6 linked regions of the Rattus norvegicus genome follow. The protein of the gene in region 6 purifies or fractionates together with the protein of the main gene of each other region. This does not show direct contact. Links are inferred from orthologs where the notes say so. Each region holds a gene or a part of one and is shown on either strand. Other genes may lie near its edges. The genes, in order: Cope, Arcn1, Nudcd1, Copb1, Copb2 and Copg1.

Region 1 (4,158 bases), on a different chromosome or scaffold from region 6:
TGACTGTCCACAGCTTTCCTGCAGAGTACCTGTGCCCTTCCCAGGCGGCCCACACTCACCTGTGCGAGGTATGCTCTATACAGGAAGACATCCCTCTCGACTTCTCTCTCAGGACTGGACAGCTGTGAGGAGATTTGTTGAGTGAGGCTGAGGAGCCTGCTGGGAGCTTCCCTGGTGCACTCAGGCTAATAGCTCAGGGCCTTAGCTGGAATCCAGGAGGCCCAGAAGCCCCAAAGGAGCCTCCACAGAGGGCACAGTGTAAAAAGCCTGATCTTATCTCAATGAGGCTGTCATCACCCCAGGTATCAGGGCACAGTGCCATATGGCTGCAGCAGCAGCAGGGCTGCATGCCCCAGCCCAGAAAAGTCCTACTGAGTTTAGAGTCCAGGCTGATCATGAACTACCTGAAATCTTCCAGCCTCGGCCTCCTGGGTGTGATACCTGGGGTGAGGACAGGGTGATGATATACTGTGTTTTGGGCACACAGGCTAGGCCATTCTGTGGTCGGTGGATACACACATTTATTTTAGTTAGCACCCAGGACAGAGTCTAATGATCCTCCTGCCTCAGCCTTTGGAGGAGCTTGGACCACACACCGAGGGGCCCCTGATCACTGCAGTCTAGCAACCAGCAGCTCTCATGTGGCCAGAAATTGCAGCAGGGAGAGGCCCTGCCTCAAGCCACCTACAGTTCTAGAGCTCTCCCTGCCTGGAAGAACAGATGGTGACCAGGCCACCTGCATGCTATCTGAAGAGATCCTGGGAACTCAGCAGAAGGACCAGCCTGGACTATGAGACATGCTGAGGGCCCCAGGGAGACTGGGCTGGCTGATGTCGGAGGTGGGGCTGCTGTGTACTTGTGGTAGGTACTAAAAGGGAAGATGAGAGAGAGGGAGCACAAGCTTCAACCAACACTGGGCGAGGACATAGGGTGGGGCATCTGACCAGTACACAAGAGTCTTGATGTCTCCCTAAACCTGAAAGGCATAAGGAGAGGAAGGAAAGATGCCGGTATCACAGAGAGTCACTGAAGTAGCTTGCTGGGTCAATGACTGGTGACTAAACATTTATTGTCCCGCATCCCTAAAGTTCAGAGTCCAGAATCAGGAACTTACACCTAACCACATAAGTCCTTAAAAGCAGAGACATAGAGGAAAGGGACCTATGGGAAGGGAGATAGAAGAGGTCCTAAGGATGACAGGACGCCACATCTGGCTGTTCTGAGATGGGAGAAGAGCCTGGGACTAGAGAGAACCTTCTAGGAGCTAGATGTCTTCAGTGAATACAGAGCCGCTGGGAAAGCTAGGAAGTGCTGCTTGTCCAGAACCTTAAGAAAAGAGAGCTTTGAGACCAGTAAGAACAAACCTCCACACACTACTCTACACACTTTACCCTAGCCACACTCCAGCCCATCATGCCCTGACCCTGGAATGCTACGCTGTTTTCACAGTCAAAATAGCCAGGCCTGAGACTACCACTTTCCTGGTTGCCTGCCTGGCCTCTGTTGCCGAGGCTACTGCACCTAGAAAGCCTGGAGTTCCATCAACTCTGTCTCTCACTGAGCCCAGCAGGAATGCTGTTTTCCACACACATGCAGAGAGGGATCAGTGATAGGTGATCCTGTCAACAACACAGGCTGTTGCAGACAATTCCCATTTTTAATGAACTAAAGACAAGCACAGGCTTGTCATCCTGCATCTGGGAGGGCTGAGGCAAGACTGCTGAATCTAGGGACAGCCTGGGCTACGTGCGACTGTTTAAAACATAAAACAAAGCCAGGGCTGGGATTTAGTCCGTAGAACACTTGCATCAACGCTGTGCTTCCCACCTCCAGTACTGCATAAACTGGGGCTGGCAGTGCACACTGCAATCCCAGTACTCAAGAGTGGAAGCACAAAAATCAAGAATTCAGTGTTCTTCAGCAAGATGAGGAATTCGAGGCCAGCCTGGGCTAAAGGAGACTGTCTTCATTTATAATCGGACTTCTCTTTTTTTGGGGGGGTGGGGTGGGAGGGCGAGGAGGGTACAGTCCAAGCCAGGATTTTTCTGTGGCACCCTGGCTGCCCTGGAAGTCGCTATGTAGGTCAGGCTGGCCTAAAACGCAGAGAACTGACTGCCTCTGCCTCTGGGTGCTGGGATTTAAGAGACGCGACACTACCTCTGGCTTGAGACTGTTATTAAGACAGATTACAGTATTATCCGACTGACCTAGAACCCCTCATGAAGATCAGGCTGACTCTGAACTAAGAGATCAGCCCGCCTCTGCCTCCCAAGTGCTGGGATAGAAGGCGTGCACCACGATGCCTGCCTAAACACTTAATGAAAGGGGAGTGAGGAGAAACGAAATAGTAAGAGGTTACAAGATAGAGCCAGTGGCGCACACCTGTCACCTCATCATTACCCTGACTTCAAGTCAGCCTGGGCTACGAATTGAGCTATCAATCAACTAATAAAATTTTGGAAGCTGGGCACAGGGGTGCACGCCTGTCAGCCTAGCACTCAAGGGGTGGAGACTGAAGGCGTAGGACTTCAGGTCAGCCTCGGTTACACAGTAAGTTCAAAACTATCCTTGACTATAAGAAAAACCGAGTCCGCCGACCAAAACCTCAGAACTGCTCCGCACGCTGCCTACCTTCACGCGCTGCGCCTCGTTAATGCACTGCTGGTAGCTGCCGATGTAGAAAGCGTTCTTCACGTCGAACAGCTCGTCTACCTCTCCAGAGCTGCCAGAGACCGCGCCGGGAGCCGGAGGAGCCATGTCACCACCCCTCTAACCGGTCTTCTTCCTGGGAGACACGTAGGCCGGAAGCAGGGACCTGCCGCCGGGAACTATGGGAAACGTAGTTCTATGGGACCAATAGGAGGCGTTGAAACAGAAACCATGCAAAGCCTCCCGAGAACTATAGATCGGATTCGATGAACAAACACAAGGTTTTCAGGACCAAAACACTGAAAAGCGGTCGAAGCTGGGATTGGTTGAGGGATCTGGAGCGGGTGGCTGCGCAGTGGCTCTCCGTGACGTCACATTCATCTGCCAGGGTTCGTTCACAACTTTCCCAGGCGGGACTGCTCCGGGTGGACGTGATGTACCATTCACGCGCCGGAAGTGCTCACCACTAGGTTCTCTACACTAGTCTGAAGCATGGCGGGGTTCGCTGAGCTCCGGCTATCGTCGTGGCTGGTGGAACAGTGTCGACAGCTGGGGTTGAAGCAGCCCACGCCGGTGCAGCTCGGGTGCATCCCGGCCATCCTGGAAGGTGAGTCCTTGACTCTCTTTTAATGCCTTTCTTTGTCCCCTCTTCCTTACCCCGGGTCCCACGAATCAGGACAGCATTGGGTGTTTCAGAGATCCTGACCCGCAGCATTGGCATTTAGGCTTCGACTGACTCGTGTGCATTGTCATACAGGTGATGGATGGAACCTCTGAAATTTTCGTAGAACCCGAGCATTAGGGAGAGTTCGGTGAATGACTAAAACGTGGCACTGGGGCAAAAAAAAGGGGGTGGGGAGTAGAACTGGCCTTGACGTAGCAAACAGAAACAGAGGCTGTCAAACTCCAGGCTCCGTGTTTGTGTCAGTGCTCTTCAGTTCAGCTCACTTTTGCCATTAAAGAGGCATCCTTGGAGCCGAACGTGGTCATCTCTCATCTCAGTCATCTCAATACCGAGCAGGAGGATCAGGAGTTCAAGATAATCCTCAGCTGTGTAGCAAGTTGCAAACCAGCCTGGGATACTTGAAAAATTGTTTCAAACAAGCAGTCATAATAACTGTTGGAAATTAGATGATGTTCAAGGGATTAGTGAACATAAAACAGCTTTTAATATTCTATTCTGCAGAAAAGGGTGCTGGCATTGAAAAAAGGATAAAGTAACTGGTATACTGATTTCAAGCAAGTTTTCGAAGCTTTCCCCCCAATCCTGCAGGGCTTGCCCCCTTCCCAAATTCCCCACCCCATTGGTCCATTGGGGCCCCAACTCTTATCTAATGAATAATTTGGGGCTTGAAACTGCCCCCCTTTTATAATCATAGGCTCAGTCACATAGCAGACCACCTGTAAGTCTCCAAGTCTTAGAATTGTAAGACATGCGGGTGCCAGCCACCAACTAAGGGAGAGAAGGGCCCAGCACCTCCTACTCACCTGTAACTCTAATAAACTGTA
Region 2 (3,500 bases), on a different chromosome or scaffold from region 6:
TGATTGATGCCAAAAATAAGAGTGGCAGCCTGGAGTTCAGCATTCCTGGGCAGCCCAATGACTTCTTCCCTGTTCAAGTTTCTTTCATCTCCAAAAAGAATTACTGCAACATACAGGTACTCTGTTATAACAGAAGGCAGATATGGGAAAGGCAGGACAAGTGCCTGATAGGTAGCACAGCTTCATGTTAAAGCAGAAATCAAAGCCAGAGTCTTCTGCAGACTCCAGTCTGACTCATCATACTTCTCTTTTTTTTTTTTTTTCTCCTTTTTATAACAGGGTTTGCTTATGTAGCCCTGGCTGGCCTAGAACTTGCTATATAGACCAGGTGTCCCTCCTGGGACATAGTCATAGAGTTCTGGGTTGTTTTGTTTTGTTTTGTATTTTTAATCTTCTGTTTGTAAGGACCAGAAAGTTGAGTAGATAAAGAGCACTTACTGTTCTTTGTGAGAGCCCCGGCTTGGGTCCCAACATCAACATGGTTGTTTACAGCCATCCAGAACTCCAGGTCCAGTGGATCCAATGCTCTCTTCTGACCTCTGCAGGCACCAGGCACAGAAATACACACACATAAAGTAAAATAAATCTAAAAAGGAAAAATTATTTTGTGTGTATATGTGGGACCATGTGCGTGCCAGCACGTTTGTGTAGGTCAGGACAGGTTCGTGGAGTCAGCTCTTTCCTTCTCAGCAGCAGAGTGAGCACACACACCTCCTGAGTCATCTGCTGCTCTGACTCCTTCTATGGATAAAGTTTAGATAAATAAAATGTTTCATATAAGAGTACTTACTGGGGGTTGGGGATTTAGCTCAGTCGTAGAGTGCTTGCCTAGGAAGCGCAAGGCCCTGGGTTCGGTCCCCAGCTCCAAAAAAAAGAACCAAAAAAAAAAAAAAGAGTACTTACTGATTGTACATGATTCATGTACACTAAGTGCCTTCTAACCTCATGTATCTTCTTAAAGATTTATTTATTATATATAAGTACACTGTAGCTGTCTTCAGACACACCAGAAGAGGGTGTCAGATCCCATTACAGATGGTTGTGAGCCACCATGTGTTGCTGGAATTTGAACTCAGGACCTCTGGAAGAGCAGTCAGTGCTCTTAACCACTGAGTCATCTCTCCAGCCCTAACCTCATGTATCTTAAAGTCTATTTGCATATCCCTTGCCTTACTGTCGCTTTACCATTTATCCAGGAAATCAAAATACTTTATGTATTTAATAGTGCAGAAAATCCAACCCAGAGCCCCAGCAGGCTAGGCAAATGCTTTACCATTGGGTTGTACTCTTGGCCTTCGGGGTTTTTTTTAGACACAAAATTGCTGCATAGAATTGGAAAGATGGCTCAGTGAATAGTGTGTGGTTAGCATACCTCAAGCCCTGTTAAAAAATGTGATCTGAGCCTGGCATAGTTGCTCACACCTTTAATCCCAGCACTTGGGAGGCAAAGGCAGGCCAATTTCTATGAGTGTGAGGCCAGCCTGCTCTACAGAGCAAGTTCTAGGACAGCCATGGAGAAACCCTATCTCAAAAAAACAAAAGCAAACAAACAAAAAAGAAGGAAACACTATCCTGGGACTGGAGAGATGGTTCAGTGGTTAAGAGCACTGGCTGCTCTTCCAGAGGACCAGGTTTGACTTCTAGTACTTCTATGACAGCCCACCTGTGATTCCTGTGTCTGTGACTCCACTCCTAGCTGATCCAATGCCTATTTTTGGCTTTTGCTGTCACCAGACACAAAATGATGCACAAACATGAATGCAAAACACCCATACACCCATACACATAAACTGTAGAAAAAGAAGAAGGTCTTTCAACATAGTATGGTTTTGGACAGGAGACTGAGATGAATTTAATAAGTAATGCAGGAGAGGTAGCAGACTTATTTAGGACCAGAATGTTAATTGATCATCCTTATAGAATGTCTGGCTTTCCTGGATTTTATAGGGCAGGCTGAGCCTTGCCACTCATCCTGGCTTTTACCTGTGGCAGCTGCTGTCCGTCTTACTGTACCAATCAGTTTTCTCTAGAGTACAGATTAGATGATGCCACAAGGAACAAGTATGAGCTCTGAGTACATTTTGGTGTTTCCAAGGTACTTTTGATCCTGATTTTAGAGAATGTGATAAAATCTGTAATGAAAATGTAGTTAACATATCAGAGACTCACTGTTGTTTTTCCTCTCCCCCCTCCCCTCTCTTTGTTTTCCTAGGTTACCAAAGTGACCCAGGTAGATGGAAACAGCCCTGTTAGGTTTTCCACAGAGACCACTTTCTTAGTGGACAAATATGAAATCCTGTAGTACCAAGAAGAGAAAGCTGAAAAGCAAGGATTTCAGATTAATAAAGAAGAAGCCAAAAGTGGCTGAAGAGTTTTTCCAAATTTACAAGCCATTGGAGATCCCCTCCCCCCCTTTTTTCTGATACAGTGCACGTTCTCTGCGCGCAAGGACCCTCAACTCACACCCAGTGTTGTGGTGTCACAGAGACATTTTTGACAAAGACATGACGCTGACATAAAGGGAAAGGCTGCTGATTTCTTTGGCAGATCTTACTGGCCAGCAGGAAGCCATCTCTCCAGGGAATGCCCCAGTAAATAGCTCTTCTGCCTTCACCTAAGTCTCCCTTTATTTTAAGCCCTAAATACAGGTATATTTCATACTTTGTTTTACAAAGTTTTCTCTATAGATTTGAGTCTTTTACACTCCTTTGCTTTCTGTTTTCTTTCAGTACACTTATCACGCACTGGGGTCACCTGTCTGTGGGTATTGTCTTCAGCACTCTGAGAAGAAGGTTATCTAACCCATTCTTGACATTAGACAATGCCAGTGAACTGCTTGAGGGATGTGGAGTCTAAAAGTTGAAACACAAGGTTATCTTATTTTCTCTCCCATATCCATCCATTGCTCCATTTCTTTATGAAGTTGTTCCCTTGTAAGCCGTCCCCTTCCAGTTGCAGGCAGTACTGTGAATCCCATTCCTATCGATATTAAAGGTAGCTCGCTGAGAAGCAGCTTTTATATGGACACACCTTTTCAAGATGCGTAGTAAGATGGCTCCATCCATTTCCACATGTAATCATGTCTGCTGCTAATGCTACCCAAACTTAAAGTTCTCTACATGCTGTGGGACAATTGAGTTGAAGCATTGTCACTCAGGGTGTTGTAGTCCACTTAGAGTCCTTGTGTCCACCTCCTTCCCCTTCCCAGATGCTCTTCCCTTCATCAGTCTTTCCAGCAGAACTGAGTCTAGTGAGTCTGTGCCATTTCTCATTAGCCCTAATGAAGAGGCCCCATCCTCACCACCATTTGGTAGCATTTTGAGAGGCAGGGGATTATATTGGTGTGCAGTAAGGGGCTACTCAAATATACCCCATCTAACCTGACATTTCCCACCCGCCTCTCCGCCCTTGTTTCTGAAAACCTTTTTCTTCTCAGCCTTTTTGGTGTCATCATGTAATAATTGTAGGAGTTTCTCGGCTCATTTTGATCCTTTACCTTT
Region 3 (3,992 bases), on a different chromosome or scaffold from region 6:
ACGAAAAGTGAAATAAGATAATGTGATTTACTCATCAATTACAATTTATGGGGAATTACAACTGCTACCCTACCACGAATTTCAAATTAGTCTTTGAGAAATTCTCCATTTTAAATAAAAACGGCCAACCAATGCCAAAATCAGTGTAGGCAGGGAAAAAGCAAGGCTAACTTATGAGAGCATTTTTGCCACTTAAAAGTTTAAGATACAATCAGGTTAAAGTTAATGTTTTCCTACTTAATGTCACTAACTTGAGTACTTTTGTAATTTCCCGTCTTGTCTGTATGAAAACTCAGACTATAAAGAATTTTCAGAGTTGAACTACGCCAAGAGGCGGGTGAACGGAGGGTTAATAACTAGGCAACGCTTTACTTCTGTAGTTGGGGCTTAACATTTTGAAAATAACTGCAAAAGTTTAGACCGTACCATACCAAGAACAGCAAAACTTCGTCTCGTCTTGGCCCCTAAAACCACGGGTAGTGACCTTGGGCAAGTCACTTAATTCCTAAAGGCCTCAGTTTTCTCACTGGTAAAACAAGGGCGCTAGGGAATCCCTCCCAGTTCTGACATTCTTTGGGAAAATGAAACACGCCGGAGACAGCTGGAGAGGCGGGAGGGGAGGAGCCAGAAAACAAAGCGAAGACTGGCTCCAGGCCAACTCCAGCAGCACGCCCTGTCGGAGAGCCCTACAGGCCCGCGAGCGCGGGTCGGGGAAGCTAACGAAAGACAGCACATCGAAAGGAGCCTGGGCTGGGCCCGGGTCCCGGCCCTGAGGACCACGGGCATAGCTCACCACCATCACCGCGGGCGAGGGCCGTCCCTTCCCAGCGACGAAATGACCCTTGCGCTGACGACCGTTACCTACCACACTCTTCAGCTGCCCGGACTTAGACCCTCAGTAGCTCGGGCACCTAAGCACACAGAAAGCTAGACCACGCATTTCCGGGGCGGGATCTGGCCACCCTGCCTATAATGTGAGAATTCAACTAGCGCGGGCCGCCTTCTGGTCGCTCGGCCCTCTGGGTAGGGAAGTCCAGAGTCTGCTAAGTGGCGAGTGTTCGGTTGTCAGAACACTACATTCCCCAGCATGCAACGGAGTCAGCTTTCTCACGGACACTACATTTCCCAGAAAAGATGTGGCGCCGCAGAGTCCTCTGGGATGGGAACCACGCCGCTCTCCCAGCCTCAGTTCCAGGAGTGAAGCGCGAACCTTTCAACAAGAGCTTTATTGATTCTCTTGCTTGGATCCGGCAACGCGATGGAGGCGGCTAATTGCTCCCTGCGGGTGAAAAGACCCCTGCTGGATCCCCGCTTCGAGGGCTACAAGCTATCGCTCGAGCCTCTGCCCTGCTACCAGCTGGAGCTTGATGCAGGTGGGATCGGCGGCACCCTCTCGCACCGGGTTCCTTCTCGTTTAGGCTGCCATTGGCGCAACCCTCTGTCACTCCGGCTAGCCAGTCACGTCCTGTCGGTCTGCACCTAGAGCGGCCGTCCACGCGGGGACCCCAGGATGCCCCCATTTCTTTCCGCGCTTTAGCAGCGGGACTGTGGACTGGCCTAGGCATCTGTAGCTCAGGCTTAGATGTTTTCTGCCCATACATCTCTGGCCCTTGCTACGAAGGTTCAGGTTGTCCTTCCCTCCCAAACCACCTTTTGTAAACGTGTCCGCTGAGAAGCCACACCTCCTTGGAAAATCCCCAACTACCTTTTTTTTTCTTCTGACGCAGAAACATTTCTTGGAGAGAAAATTTTCCACATTCAGTTAGCAGTTTTAAGTATCCTGATACATAGAACAACGCCACAATTTATCGAGGGAAAGTGATTTAGTGCGCTTACTGCTCTTGCTTATTTATTTGTAACTTTCTAGAGGCTATTCGCCTTTTTACAACGTTAAGAATTGTAGTTTTGTTAACCAAAGTGTCCAGAGATTCGTGTTTTTAAATACAGCCCTCTGTAGATTCTGATTTTGATACACGTTTTCCATGGGTTGCACTTTGAGAAATAGTGATCTAGAGGTGTTAGTCAATAATGTATTAAGCATTCCCTATGTATCTATCTGTGTATCTTTTCTATAGATACAAAGGAGTCTGCATCCTTGACTGTCCTGGCACTTGCTGTGTAGTCCCGACTGGCCCAGAACTAACAGATGTCCTCTGTGCTGGGATTAAAGGCATATACCACCAAGCAGCCCAACAAATGCTTGTTTTTCTAAGTTTGTTTCTTAAGTATAGAAGTAATTATTGTGGGCCTGTTTTGTGTTTTCTTCACGATGATTAGGTGATTGGCACAATCATGAGTGCCTAACATATCATAATTCATTCAGGAATAAACATCTATTACAGTATGGGCAGGTAGGAACATGACCAAGTGTAAATGGTCTAACGGAGTATGCTTTCTCAAATTGTCTGGAGATCTGGTAAAGCTTCCAGGAGGAGTTGATGACTGAGTTGAGTTGTGAAGGATAGGCTGGTAACTGATGGCTGGTATAAGAGGAGAGGAGCTTCCAGGAGAGGAGCTTCCTTCTTTTTCCTCTTGGCATTTTTGTTGCTTTTGTTTCTGTCAATAAATGACCCCGCCATGTTCAGTTGGCCAAGTCATTGGAAATAAAACACAAAGGACCAAACCCTAATGGGCCAAACCAGAAGGTACTCACAAATGTGCAGGTCAGCAGGTCTTCCTCACTGCTTATTCATGTGTCTTTGCTCAGGTACGGGCCGGTCGAGGCAGGTCTAGTCATCCTGATTCCACCATCTACACCATTTGCTGGCTCTTTGCTTGCTCCAGCATTTGTCAGATGATCTTGACTTGAGTCTTCCACAGGCTGCTTGCAGGAAGTCAAGTCACAGTGCACATGCTGTTTCAGTGGCTTTAAAACAAATTTCCACATGTTCTACTGGGCAAAGCAAATTAAATAATCAAGTCAGGAACTGCTGTTGGCAGACCCTAGCTGAGGGTATAGATCCAGAGTGCTAAAAGTTGGGACAGTGAAAGTCTAGGAAGTTAGCAATTACTCCGTGTCAATGTGAAATCAAGGTACTAAACAGGTATCATTCCCAGGTTTCCTTGGGCCTTTGTGTAACCCCCTCCCTGCTCACACGTAGTCAGGCAGTGAGAATGCTTACTCTCATCCCGATGTCTCTTTATTTAGTGCCACCATAAAATGGTGCTGCCCCCATTAAGGTCTAGATAGTCTCTCATAGGTTTTCTCAGAGGCATATCCACTACATGATTTGGAATCCTATGAAGTTGACAGCCAAGATTAGAGCTGTCTACTTCTGCAAATTTCATTTTCTGTACAGCTGTAAATGCATTTCATATGTGTGTATGTGTGTAGTGTTCCTTTATTCCTTCATCTGTTGATGAACATCTAGATTGATTCTGTTTCCTAGCTTCTGTGAACACAGCAGCGGTGAAGGTGAGTGGACAGAGATCTCAGTGGTAGGATAGAGACCCCTTTAAATATATGCCCAAAAGTATAGCTGCTGGGTCATAGGCTTTGGAGAAACCTCCATATTGATCTCCGTAATGGCTATAAGTAGTTTAAATTTCCGCTAGCAGTAAAAAGGGATCATCGGTATATGTTGTCCTCTCATTTCTTATGCATGACACTGAATCTCAAAGTAGGTTTAATTAGCTTTTTTCCTGATTGGTAAGGATGTGAAGCACTTGGAAGCTATGCAGTGAGGTGTGTTTTAGTTTTTGTAGTTTTTTCTTGTTGTTATATATAGTTGGCTATTAGCCTTTTGCCTGAAGTAGAGCCGCTGAAGAGCTTTCATTCTGTAGTCTGTCCTTTCATTCTGTTAATAGTTTCTTTGGTGTTCTGAAACATTTTAATTTTACATCATCCCATTTCTTAGTTCCTATGGGTACTTCCTGTGCTGATAAAGTTTTGTTCAAAGTTTTTTTCTGCCTATATCTTGCAGTGTAAGCCCTTTAATTTCTTATAGCCATTTCAGTATTTCAGGTTTTAAATTAAGATCTTTAATGGAGTT
Region 4 (3,590 bases), on a different chromosome or scaffold from region 6:
AACTATGAGAATACTGAACTATTTGTATGTCTAGTGTAGTACCTGGCCCATTATAGCTGAGATATATATATATATATATATATATATATATATATATATATATATATAAACAACAAGAGACAAAGTGTACCTGAGCCTAAGGTCTAACTCCTAAGTCCTATCGCTTACCAGTTCTGTAACCTGAGGAAACTTATTTGACTTACCTGCTTTCCTAATTTGTGAGATGGAAAATAGTAAGGTAGGATTGATGGCGCTATTCAGTTGGTAATATTTATAAAGCACTTAGAATCTAGTATATATAAATATTTGCTAATGTCATAAATATTTGTTATTTTGAACTAGCATCTACCCTTTTGATCGGGACTCTTTATGTTTATTACAGTTTATGATGTCTCTGGAGCAGCAAGTGACAGAAACTGTGTGGTCCTCAGTGACATCCACATTGACATCATGGACTATATCCAGCCTGCAACTTGCACTGATGCTGAGTTCCGTCAGATGTGGGCCGAATTTGAATGGGAAAATAAAGTTAGTCGTTGAGAGGTTTCCTATGCAGTTCTTCCTTATGACTAGTGATGAGGGTTTTTTTAAAGTCATTCCCCCCAAAAAGCATAAGAAGTGAGAAGCAAACAGTTCTTCATTATGTGTTCCTGTGTATTATCTTAACGAGAAACCATGCAAGTACTTTGGTAATTCCGTGTGGTGAATGGCAGTTCTTTTTGGAATCTTGTGATGGTATCTTGCTCTCTAGCCTAGTCAAGTCTCCAGTGCCCAACCTTCTTGCCCATGTCATCTTGGCACAGACACTAGAGTGTGCATCACCACACCTAGCAAGTCATAACTCTGTAACTACTTTGGTTGAGACCGTGTAGACAAGATCCCTCCTGTGCTGTGTCGGGATGATAATCTACCATTGGCTCTCGTATCCTCAAGGCTGTGCGAAGTCTGTGGCCCAGTGGGAAACTTTGCCCCCTAAGTTTTCTGTGAACTCTGTGTCTCTTTGACGGTCTAGGGAGGTATCTGTCTGGAAGCCCTGCCATGCCAGCTGCTTTCGTAGCAGTCATTACTTTTTTATTGCCCTTCTTCCCTCCATAGTTGGCAGAAAGCTGTAGGATGAAATGGCTGTGACGCACAGTTTACTGAGTCCTCTCCTCTGCAGGTGACAGTTAACACCAACGTGACTGACCTGAATGATTATTTACAGCACATCCTCAAGTCCACCAACATGAAGTGCCTGACTCCAGAGAAGGTAGGAGGAGGCTAGAAGAGGTGAAATTCTATAAAAAGTCTATAAAAAAAAGTTTCTGTTAATGCCATAATGTGCATCTTCCTAATAAGAAAATGTCAGCTGTCATCTGGGGTGTGTAGCTCAGTGACAGAATGTTTGTTTAGCAGCACGCACGCACGCACGCACGTACACATACATGGGGGTGGGGCCGGGGGCGGGGGTGGGGTGTGGGTTTACTGCCAAATTAGTAGATTTTGTAGATTAGTTTCTTCAACAGTTTTTAAGTCCAACAAAAGAAGCCTTTCTTTATGGAAGTTAAAAGCCTGATACAGGAGACAAATAAGTAAATCAGAACAGAATATGTAAATATAAATTTGAATAAGTACTCTTAAAACTATAGAATGCACAGGGAATTCTTAAATTTTTATACATATATTTATTTTGAGTTTTGGCAAACTTATTAGCTCCTATACCAAGCACCACGTAAGTAAAGTTTTAAGTAATAGTTTGCATGTATATTGAGTTTGCCAAGGTATTATAGTTCTCTAGCCAAGTACTGGATCTATCACACATTTCTTCCCAGGCCCTTTCTGGCTACTGTGGCTTCATGGCAGCCAACCTATATGCTCGCTCTATATTTGGAGAGGATGCACTTGCAAATGTCAGCATTGAGAAGCCAGTTCACCAGGGACCAGATGCTGCTGTTACTGGCCATATAAGAATTCGTGCAAAAAGTCAGGTAATAACATCCTTTTTTGAGAACATCTCTGCACCAAATAGAGGAAGAATTCATATATGTCTTATTTCTGTGATAAATTTCTTCTGTCATAATTATGTTTTGTGCCTGAGATAAATATATACATACATACATATGCATGGTATTTTCTGAGGTTTAATTCATTTAAAATGGCTTATCTACCATATTGCCTAAAACATCGATTCCTGAGTGATGTTTGTTTTTCTTTTTTCTTTTTTTTTTTTTTTTTAAGATTTATTTAACGTACAGCATTCTGCCTGCATATGTGACTGCAGGTCAGAAGAGGGCACCAGATCTCATTACAGACGGTTGTGAGCCACCATGTGGTTGCTGGGATTTGAACTCAGGACCTCTGGAAGAGCAGTCAGTGCTCTTAACCACTGAGCCATCTCTCCAGCCCTCTGAGTGATGTTTGTGAAACAGATTCTATAGAGTTGTTTAACAGATAAGGCATCAGTCTAACACAAACCAACATCACTAAAATCAACCAGTAAACGTTTTTGGAGTCTGTCTTTATATCCTTTGTTTTGTTGTTGAATGTGACGTCGTCATCCAATGGAGGCGTAGTTAGGCTGTGCAGCCTGTTTGGGCATTGTTTCAGTAATCACTGTTGTTGACTCTGGGAATGTAACTCAGTCTTGGGAATACTCTCCTAGCATGTGTAGACCATGAGTTAATCCCAACATCACAAAACCAGATAAAAATATAAACATCTTCATTCTTCTTTGCAGGGAATGGCCTTGAGCCTTGGAGATAAAATCAACCTGTCTCAAAAGAAGACTAGTCTCTAAGAATGAACAAACGGTCCTCGAAAGTGTAAGGTTAAAATTTAGGTGTGGGCTGATTGGACTCCGACGTTTTTGTACTCTTTCATGCTTTATGCTTGTAGAATTTGAGTTCATGCTGAATTCATTCCAGCCCGTAATTTATAGCCTTTCCCCTAAATCAAGAATGAGTTTAAAATTATAGTTTGTCTTTTATCTTAACAGTTCTGAATGCTGTCCTCAAAGTATATAAAGTTCCTCATATGTACCAAGACCATTTTCACAATAAACAGATCTGTTCATAAATTTTTGTTATTTTATAAATAAATTACTTAATTTTAGATTTGTATCAGTGGAATTTCTTCTTTTTTTTACCTGGCCTATATTTATGAAGAGAGTTACAAAGTGAGTGACCTAAAATGGAGCGGGTACTGGTTTAGTGCATTATTGTTCCCTCATTTTCTGTAATGACATTAGTGTCTCTAAAACTCTAGGGTCTCAAACTTTGCTTCAAGGAAAAAGTATCCAAATTACCTGAGAAAAGTGTCTTTGGCTTAAAGGAGCTGTAAGACTCTGACTGCCATACTATTCTTGATGATCCTGAATTATTATGGAAATTAGATCATCTAAAATCAGTGTGAAAATTCATGCACATTCAGCATTGGGTGTTTGTGCTTGTTAGTAATTACAGTGGCTCTAGCCAGTGACAGACTGCACTGGGAGGATTAGCTTTGGGGGATTCAGCAGCTGTTCCGTTTCCAAATGGCCTCTGTTTTTCACTCCTTCCCTACTGTTCATAACTTCACTGGGCTAAGCAACACACACCCCTCATTATGACTCC
Region 5 (3,500 bases), on a different chromosome or scaffold from region 6:
CTCTTTAGTTACTTCTTCATAACTTAATGTGTCTATTCTTATTAACATTTCAAGACGCTGGTGAAGACCTTTGAAGTGTGTGATCTCCCTGTTCGAGCTGCGAAGTTTGTCGCAAGGAAGAACTGGGTGGTGACAGGAGCAGTAAGTAGCTCTGAGTATCAGATCCTACCCTCTCATTGGCCAGTGGTCATAGATACTAGTTACAGAGTTGTAATGCCTGGTTCATTAAGTTAATTAAACGTAGTATTCTGATGGTAGGAGGCTATACCTTGAGCTTGTAATACAGTTTAGTTGTGTATACAGTTTATCTCATATAGTGATGCTTTAAAATCTCCATTCCTAGGATGATATGCAGATTAGAGTGTTCAATTATAACACCCTGGAGAGGGTGCACATGTTTGAAGCACACTCGGATTACATCCGTTGCATTGCTGTTCATCCCACCCAGCCGTTCATTCTCACAAGCAGTGGTAAGAGACAACCTGCCTCAGTCCTGTGCACTGAGTAATGATTTGCTTCCCGAGACATGTTGTGCTTTAACTGCAGTGGCAAATGGAGCTCTCACTCCAAGCTTCTGTTAAACAATTTGAATCCATTACTGTGCTGTTGGTGCTGCCCACCTGTGTATTTTAGTATTTTAATAGGATTATATTGCAATTGCTCTAATTCCTGATGGAAAATTCGAAGGTCTAGAAGCATCTGTATCTGGGGAGCAGAAAGCGCATTAGAATGCTGATGAGCAGGCTGTTGGCAGATTGCCACAGGCTCTGTTGGTTTATCTGCATATGCAGACTAGCTAGCTCGCTCCCTGGTATTAGTGTAAAGCGACCCGCAGGAGGGCTGTTACCTGGGTATCCCTGAGTTGGTAGTAGTCTTTGAAATATTTATAAATTTAACAAGTGAGAACTTCTGTAAAAGCAGTTTATCTCATCAGGCAAATTCTGCCTCTTTCCACAGTCAGCTTTTTTAGCCAGACTTAGCCGGTAACCACTGGGGTTTTTTTGTTTGTTTGTTTAATTAAATTTAAGAAGTTGTCGTGTTTTTTGTATGTCTTTAGTAGCTGTCTATATGCACTTTGTCCGCACTGTTCTGTAGTCAGTATGCTCTGAGGTCAGGTAAGGACTTGAAGGACTTTCCCAGTATTAGTTCTATGGCATAGGTACTGGGACTGTGAACTATGCTACATGTGTTACCTTAAAACTCACTGAAACTGTCTTATTACAGAGATGAAAACAATCCACAACTGACTTGGCTCTCTTTTGGTATAGATGACATGCTTATTAAGCTCTGGGACTGGGACAAAAAATGGTCTTGTTCACAAGTGTTTGAAGGACACACGCATTATGTTATGCAGATTGTGATAAACCCCAAAGATAACAATCAGTTTGCCAGTGCCTCTCTCGACAGGACCATCAAGGTAGGTGTCCACTACGTTGGTGCGTTACTCTGGCTGGCCAGAAAGCCCCTGTGCTCCTGTGCCAGGCAGAAGCAACGCAGTAGAACATTGGTTTCCACTCTAGGATCTACAGTTAGAAGCACTGCCACGTTTCTAGGACACGTGTGTGTGTGTGTGTGTGTGTGTGTGTGTGTGTGTGTGTGTGTGTGTGAGAGAGAGAGAGAGTGTGTGTGTGTGTGTGTGTGTGTGAGAGAGAGAGAGAGAGAGAGTGTGTGTGTGTGTGTGTGTGTGTGTGTGTGTCCTTTAGTCATTCTTGTCTCCTCATCACTGGTCTGTTTTATATTTAAGTTCTTTCTGTTGCCATCCCCTCTTTCTGCCTCTTGCTGTGGACTGCTTGTCTTCAGGGTCTGTTTTGTTTATTTCCTGTTGGAGAATAAACTACAGATGTCTAAGAGTGAAATACAGGATGGTTAGGGCTAGCCTGGGCTGCTGATACAGACACCAATATGACTGACCTACTCGCTGTCCTCTAGCAATGCTCTGAGTGTTCACAGAGCAGTGCTTCATCAGCTCTCCCTCTGACTGCAGGTCTTTGCATTCTCGGATTTGAATTTATTTTTCTCTGAGCATCTTCATAGCTCTCTAAGGGTTAGCACAGATAGTCATTCTGAGAAAGTCCAGTCTAGCGCTCCAGTCTAGCGACTAATGGCTGTAGACAGAGTGTATGTCATTCCCTTTAGATTTTGTTTCTATTAACAGTCTTCACATTGAGTGATAATTCATGTAATTTAAAATCATTTATCCCTGTGATATCCTGGATATTTGGGATAGGAGCTGTGTCTCCCCTTGCACAGCCCCAAGGTGTTCTGGGAGAGTAGCACAGTACTTTGGCTCTACTGGATACTGACTATTTGTTGCCGTGAGTACAGTCAGATTTTCTCCATCCTCTCAGTACATTGACCTAAAATAAATTTCAAATCACATTACTTTTGCTTACACATTTGCTTACATGTATATAATATTTTTAGTAATTTAACTCATATAAGCTATTTTGTGTTTTAAGAGCTTCAGGTTTTTAACTTGACTTTGTTATCATTTGTTGAATTGCCCCTGCTTTTGACATAGATGGGAAACTGAGATCAGTTTTAACTTCTTCACTAAATTAAGTTTATCTGATTTTTTGAGTCAGGGTCTACAGTGTATGCTAAGGTGGCCTAGAATTTACTGTGTATCCACCCTACACTGGCTTCACATTCTTAATTCTCTCAGCTTCCCAGACACTGGGAACACAGGCGTGTGCCTCGCTCTCCCTGGCGAGCTCTTCCATTCTGACACATGCTACTCAGCACTAAGCTCCCATCCAATCAGGACCTAATTTAAAGTAGAGGTTTTCAAAGTGTTAATTTGTTCATTGATTCCTGCGCTTCACCTGTATACAGTTTTCTTAGTTTTCTTTCTGTTGCTGTGCTAAAACACTGACCAGCCATCATCCAAGGAAGTTGGGGAGGAACTCAAGGCAGGAACCTGGAGGTAAAATGAGCAGAGCTATGGAAGAACACCGTTCATTGGCTCGCTCCTCATGATTTGCTCAGCCTGCTTTCTTGGGTGGCACCATCATGCCTCCAAAGGCTTACTACAGGCCAGTCTGATGGAGGCATTTTCTCAGTTGAATCCCCTCTTCCCAGATAAGTACTTATGTCAAGTTGAGAAAAACATAACAGGGTCAACAACTGAACTATATCTATAATCTCCATGGAGAAGTGATTCTGCTTTCTAAAAATTATCATGAGACCAGAGCAAATATCCTGGAACACTGTGTCTTGGGCTGTGGTGTTTGATGTCTTGTGTTGAAAGCGGGGGAACTGCCTCTGAAAGTGCTGACTGGCAGATGCCTCTGTTCTCTGAAGGTGTGGCAGCTGGGCTCTTCATCACCAAACTTCACGCTGGAGGGACATGAAAAAGGCGTGAATTGCATTGATTACTACAGTGGTGGTGATAAGCCATACCTCATTTCAGGTGCAGATGACCGGCTCGTTAAAATATGGGATTATCAGGTACAGTTTCTATAACCTTCCGTGCTGTATGCTAGGCAGGTCTTCACTGC
Region 6 (4,222 bases):
GCAGAGAGAGGAAAGAGGGGTGGGGGAGAAAGAAGGGGGAAGGTGGAGACCACCCCTCCTATTGTAGTATCCTCCCAGGCAAACATGACTTTTGATTAATAGGGTGTGCTTCCAAGAAGAAGCACGCAGACATGGGAACCACATTTTTATTCTAACTCAGGTGGTGACATTGTCTTTTAGTTTTAAAAGAATCCCAGTGGGGTTGGGGATTTAGCTCAGTGGTAGAGCACTTGCCTAGCAAGCGCAAGGCGCAAGGCGCAAGGCCCTGGGTTCGGTCCCCAGCTCCGAAAAAAAGAAAAAAGAAAAAAGGGAAAAAAAAAAAAAACCCAGCAAAGGAATTTAAAGGGGAAAAGGTCAGTCACATTAATCTGAGAGTAGCATGGCCTTTTTACAAAGTTAACAAAATTTTTACTGGGTGTGGGTATTTAAAATTTTGTATTAAAAGTCTTACAAGGCGGAGGAAGATAAACAATATTTGGATTCCTTGTCAAAACACAAGTTTTACAGTATTTAGTAGAAAAGACTCATTTCATAATTTTCACAATTGAACCAGGTCCTCAGGTTTGGCAGCAAGCACCTTTATTTACCAGCTGAGCCACCTCATTGGCTCTATTTTTTGAGGTGGAAGTCATGTAGCTTTGGTTGGTGCCGGAAGATGGCCTTGAACTCATCCTTTCTCTGCCTCATGAGTGCGGAAATTACAATGTCCAGTTATATCTCAATTTTTTTTTTTCCGGAGCTGGGGACCGAACCCAGGGCCTTGCGCTTGCTAGGCAAGCGCTCTACCACTGAGCTAAATCCCCAACCCCGTATATCTCAATTTTTAAAGCACAAGTGTACATAACTCTAATATTCATTGGCTTACAAAACTAGACTTTGATGGAATCGGTTCCTTGGCTAGCAACGGGTGCCCTTTTCCCCCTTCGCGCCCCGTCTCCCGCCTACGACGACCCCCCTGGCACAATCCTTGGGGACAGTGAACTTGTCCGAGAGCAGCTTCCCAATAAATTTGCCTTTAAAATATTCTAACCTGGCTTGTTGGCTCATTTCACCGGCGGCGTAAAAATAACCTATCAGTGAGACTTCCGGAAAATGACAATAAAGAGTAACAGAGAACGTTTATGGGGTCAGCGTGCTGCAACTCTCCCAATCAGAACGCCCTTTAAATTCAGCCGGCAGCAACTGCAAAGACATCAGCCACCGGAACACACGGGGGCGCAGAGGCGGAGCACCCGCAACAGCAGGTCTAAGGCCCCGCCCCATTGCTCAGCCACGCCCATTTTCCTGAGTCTCATTCCTAGCCTTCCGCTCTCCTCCACTCAGCTAGATTTTGACTGTCTCCGGGCAGGCAATGAAGGTGTAACGTGGAAGCAGTTGTGCGCAGGCGCAGACGATAGAGTGCGCAGGCGCAGTCCAAAGAGCAGTGCTCAGGGCGACGTGGCGGGCGGGAGTACGGAAGCCGCTGGGAGAAATTGATCTCACCGCTACCCTGAGCATCTTTCTATTGCGTGGAGCTACCGCTGGCACCATGTTGAAGAAATTCGACAAGAAGGACGAGGAGTCTGGTGAGGGACCCTTGAAAGTGTTGGGAAGGCCAGATCCACGCGGGGATTCACGCGACCTTTCTAGGCTTCCTTCTTCCGGGCCTCTGTCAGAACAAGATTCGAGGCCAGAGAGGGGCAGGGGCTTGTGCGCAGGTCCATAGCAATTCTTGGAGAAGACGTGCTGTTTGCACTCTCCAGTTCTGGTCAGAATTGATGCGTGACCTTGTGCGGGTCACGCACCTCTCTGGACCTCAGTTTCCCCATCTTGTCAGAGGAGGTTCCAAGGATGGGTGCTCCCTTGTATTCCACCCGACCTCTTGGTATTTGCCAAAGCTGCGTTGGTTCTTTGCCTATCTGGGTGCAACCAGTCCAGCAGTTAATAACCCTGACTGTTTCTTTCACTCATTCAATAAACTACATCAGGAACCTCACTGATCCTGATATTGCAGTACCTAAGGCAAGTGCGACACTAGATGCCTGCAATAGGAATGTTAGGATGGTCACATAATGGAGGAGCCAGACAGTAACCAGATAATCACATGCATAATTACTTAATGTAATATCTGCTGTCATCTCAGTCACAGGTCAGTTAGTGTTGGTTGTCCCTGGCACATAGACTCACTTAAGTTCTGGTTGTACGAGTCAATGCTAAATGTTATACCTTGAGAGTCACAGAAAGAATGCTAGGTGACTGTGAGAGGACCTTGACTGCCTCTGGAAGATGATATAGACTTCCTTCCCGTCCCCGTGTTTGGCAGAATCTTGAAATTTAGGGTCCCAGTTTGGGGCTGTAACAGTTGGTAGAGTGCTTGCCTAGCATGCATGAAGCCTTGTGTTTGATCCACAGCACTGCGTAAACCAGGAAGTAGAGGTAGGAAGATCGTCCTCTGCTAAAATTTGAGTTCAAGGCTAGCATGGAATACGTGAGACGCTGTCTCAAAAAAAAAAAAAAAAAAAAAAAAAAAGAAAAGAAAAAGAAGGAAAGAAATCTATCCAAGATCACAACCTGTAATCAGTCTTCTCTGTTCACTGTAGGTGGAGGTTCCAACCCCCTCCAGCACCTGGAGAAGAGTGCAGTACTCCAAGAGGCAAGTTCCATCATACCTGTGTCTGGTCAGGGATGCCTGCCAGCCCTGCTGTCAGACACTAACATACATAGAGTGCTGGTTTACAGAGCCTGGGCCCAGGAAGGTGGGACCTACTAATTATATTGCTAAGTGTGACTAGTACGAGGGCAGCACAAGCAGAGACTTGGGGTATTACCTAGTCATAACGTAGATCAGTTAAGAGAAATAGGCTCTCCCCACTTGAGAATACATTTGTGTGGACTGACACACCCCGTGGTTCTCTAGGCCCTTCATGAACTGAGGGGCAGCTGTGGAATGGAAGTGTACTAGGCTAGAGGTAATGGTTGCTTCTTCACAGGCTCGGGTCTTTAACGAAACTCCTATCAACCCCCGGAAATGTGCCCACATCCTCACCAAGATCCTTTACCTCATAAACCAGGTAACAAGATGGGGCTTGGCAGGGAGTACAAGGGGGACTGTGTAAGTGGGGATGTACCCTTAAGCTTTCGATTGACAGCTCTGTGATTGGAACCAACAGTCTAGCCCTGGGTCCTCTTAAGTTTCCAGCTCTCATTTGTTGCTTGTGCTCCAAAGGTCTAGCCTGCTGACCTCCTGTCCAAACCTGCGTCTTTTCTGATTACCACAGGGGGAGCACCTGGGGACCACAGAAGCAACTGAGGCTTTCTTTGCCATGACCAAGCTCTTTCAGTCCAATGATGTAAGTACGTCAATCTGCATGTCTGCAGATGTGACGCCTGTGACAGGGTAGCTGGCAGGAGGACAACTGCCTTCCACACAGTCAGGCTCCTCTTGAGTCAGGTCCTCTCCCACTGAGCAGGACTGATAGGGTCTTCTCCATGTCTTTTCCAGCCCACACTCCGCCGAATGTGCTACTTGACCATCAAGGAGATGTCCTGCATCGCTGAGGATGTCATCATTGTGACGAGCAGGCATGTCTTGGGCAGGGGTGGCTCCTCTGGTGGGACCCATTGACAGAGACAACTCGTACAGCCAAGGGACTCCTGACATCTGGCCTGTGCCCTGTCCTCCTAGGCCCACCCCCTGCCAGCCTCTAGAGTGGTCTGCTTCTTTCTCACTTCTCTGGCCTTGCTTCTCTTCCTCCTCCTTAGACGGCACAACCAGTGTGGAGCTTTCAGAGAGTCTTTAGTCAGTGCTAAGGAAAAGAAAAACAGATGCAAGAAATCCTTCAGAACTGGGAGTCAAAACTGGACATGGTGCTATACACTTGTACTTACAGCGTTTGGTAAAAACAGGAGGATAGCTGCCAGTTTGAACCTGCTTGGGCTACATAAGAAGATGTCACCAAGAAATAAAATAAAACAACACCCCCCCCCCCACACACACACACCTAGTTCTTTTATTTCTTATTGACATTGCTAGCCAAGGAGAGGGTCCATACAGCCAGTTTCAGGTACATTGATACTTACTGGGGCTGGAGAGATGGCTCAGTGGTTAGAGCACCAGTTGCTTTCCTAGAACCCACATCAGGAGGCTTAAGAGCATCTGTTACTCCAGCTACAAAGGACTCTGATGTGTCAGAGGGCACCATACTCAGGTATACATACTCACATGCAGACAGATACTTACATT

Evidence for each region.
Region 1: the proteins of Copg1 (region 6) and Cope fractionate together in Homo sapiens (co-fractionation; 6 studies listed by BioGRID and IntAct, counting the BioPlex papers as one, with this or other methods). This does not show direct contact. The link is inferred for Rattus norvegicus from reciprocal best matches to the Homo sapiens genes COPG1 and COPE.
Region 2: the proteins of Copg1 (region 6) and Arcn1 purify together in Homo sapiens (affinity purification with mass spectrometry; 6 studies listed by BioGRID and IntAct, counting the BioPlex papers as one, with this or other methods). This does not show direct contact. The link is inferred for Rattus norvegicus from reciprocal best matches to the Homo sapiens genes COPG1 and ARCN1.
Region 3: the proteins of Copg1 (region 6) and Nudcd1 purify together in Homo sapiens (affinity purification with mass spectrometry; 3 studies listed by BioGRID and IntAct, counting the BioPlex papers as one, with this or other methods). This does not show direct contact. The link is inferred for Rattus norvegicus from reciprocal best matches to the Homo sapiens genes COPG1 and NUDCD1.
Region 4: the proteins of Copg1 (region 6) and Copb1 fractionate together in Homo sapiens (co-fractionation; 11 studies listed by BioGRID and IntAct, counting the BioPlex papers as one, with this or other methods). This does not show direct contact. The link is inferred for Rattus norvegicus from reciprocal best matches to the Homo sapiens genes COPG1 and COPB1.
Region 5: the proteins of Copg1 (region 6) and Copb2 purify together in Homo sapiens (co-immunoprecipitation; 8 studies listed by BioGRID and IntAct, counting the BioPlex papers as one, with this or other methods). This does not show direct contact. The link is inferred for Rattus norvegicus from reciprocal best matches to the Homo sapiens genes COPG1 and COPB2.

Annotation. Positions count from the first base shown.
Region 1 is NC_086034.1:19,156,238-19,160,395, forward strand, and holds the start of Cope (coatomer subunit epsilon), read right to left. Parts: upstream 2,801-4,158; 5' UTR 2,758-2,800; coding exon 2,632-2,757; intron 123-2,631; coding exon 60-122; intron 1-59. Other genes in the region: probable ATP-dependent RNA helicase DDX49, read left to right, coding at 3,142-3,256. UniProt on the Homo sapiens protein: The coatomer is a cytosolic protein complex that binds to dilysine motifs and reversibly associates with Golgi non-clathrin-coated vesicles, which further mediate biosynthetic protein transport from the ER, via the Golgi up to the trans Golgi network.
Region 2 is NC_086026.1:53,955,006-53,958,505, reverse strand, and holds part of Arcn1 (coatomer subunit delta), read left to right. Parts: coding exon 1-116; intron 117-2,212; coding exon 2,213-2,302; 3' UTR 2,303-3,500. UniProt on the Homo sapiens protein: Component of the coatomer, a cytosolic protein complex that binds to dilysine motifs and reversibly associates with Golgi non-clathrin-coated vesicles, which further mediate biosynthetic protein transport from the ER, via the Golgi up to the trans Golgi network.
Region 3 is NC_086025.1:77,477,776-77,481,767, reverse strand, and holds the start of Nudcd1 (nudC domain-containing protein 1), read left to right. Parts: upstream 1-1,192; 5' UTR 1,193-1,258; coding exon 1,259-1,373; intron 1,374-2,653; exon of another isoform or gene 2,654-2,855; intron 2,856-3,992.
Region 4 is NC_086019.1:177,838,251-177,841,840, reverse strand, and holds the end of Copb1 (coatomer subunit beta), read left to right. Parts: intron 1-382; coding exon 383-528; intron 529-1,159; coding exon 1,160-1,249; intron 1,250-1,811; coding exon 1,812-1,967; intron 1,968-2,716; coding exon 2,717-2,776; 3' UTR 2,777-3,090; downstream 3,091-3,590. UniProt on the Homo sapiens protein: The coatomer is a cytosolic protein complex that binds to dilysine motifs and reversibly associates with Golgi non-clathrin-coated vesicles, which further mediate biosynthetic protein transport from the ER, via the Golgi up to the trans Golgi network.
Region 5 is NC_086026.1:108,047,187-108,050,686, forward strand, and holds part of Copb2 (coatomer subunit beta'), read left to right. Parts: intron 1-54; coding exon 55-141; intron 142-343; coding exon 344-470; intron 471-1,268; coding exon 1,269-1,417; intron 1,418-3,303; coding exon 3,304-3,450; intron 3,451-3,500. UniProt on the Homo sapiens protein: The coatomer is a cytosolic protein complex that binds to dilysine motifs and reversibly associates with Golgi non-clathrin-coated vesicles, which further mediate biosynthetic protein transport from the ER, via the Golgi up to the trans Golgi network.
Region 6 is NC_086022.1:121,922,540-121,926,761, forward strand, and holds the start of Copg1 (coatomer subunit gamma-1), read left to right. Parts: upstream 1-1,422; 5' UTR 1,423-1,528; coding exon 1,529-1,565; intron 1,566-2,579; coding exon 2,580-2,632; intron 2,633-2,969; coding exon 2,970-3,050; intron 3,051-3,257; coding exon 3,258-3,329; intron 3,330-3,481; coding exon 3,482-3,561; intron 3,562-4,222. UniProt on the Homo sapiens protein: The coatomer is a cytosolic protein complex that binds to dilysine motifs and reversibly associates with Golgi non-clathrin-coated vesicles, which further mediate biosynthetic protein transport from the ER, via the Golgi up to the trans Golgi network.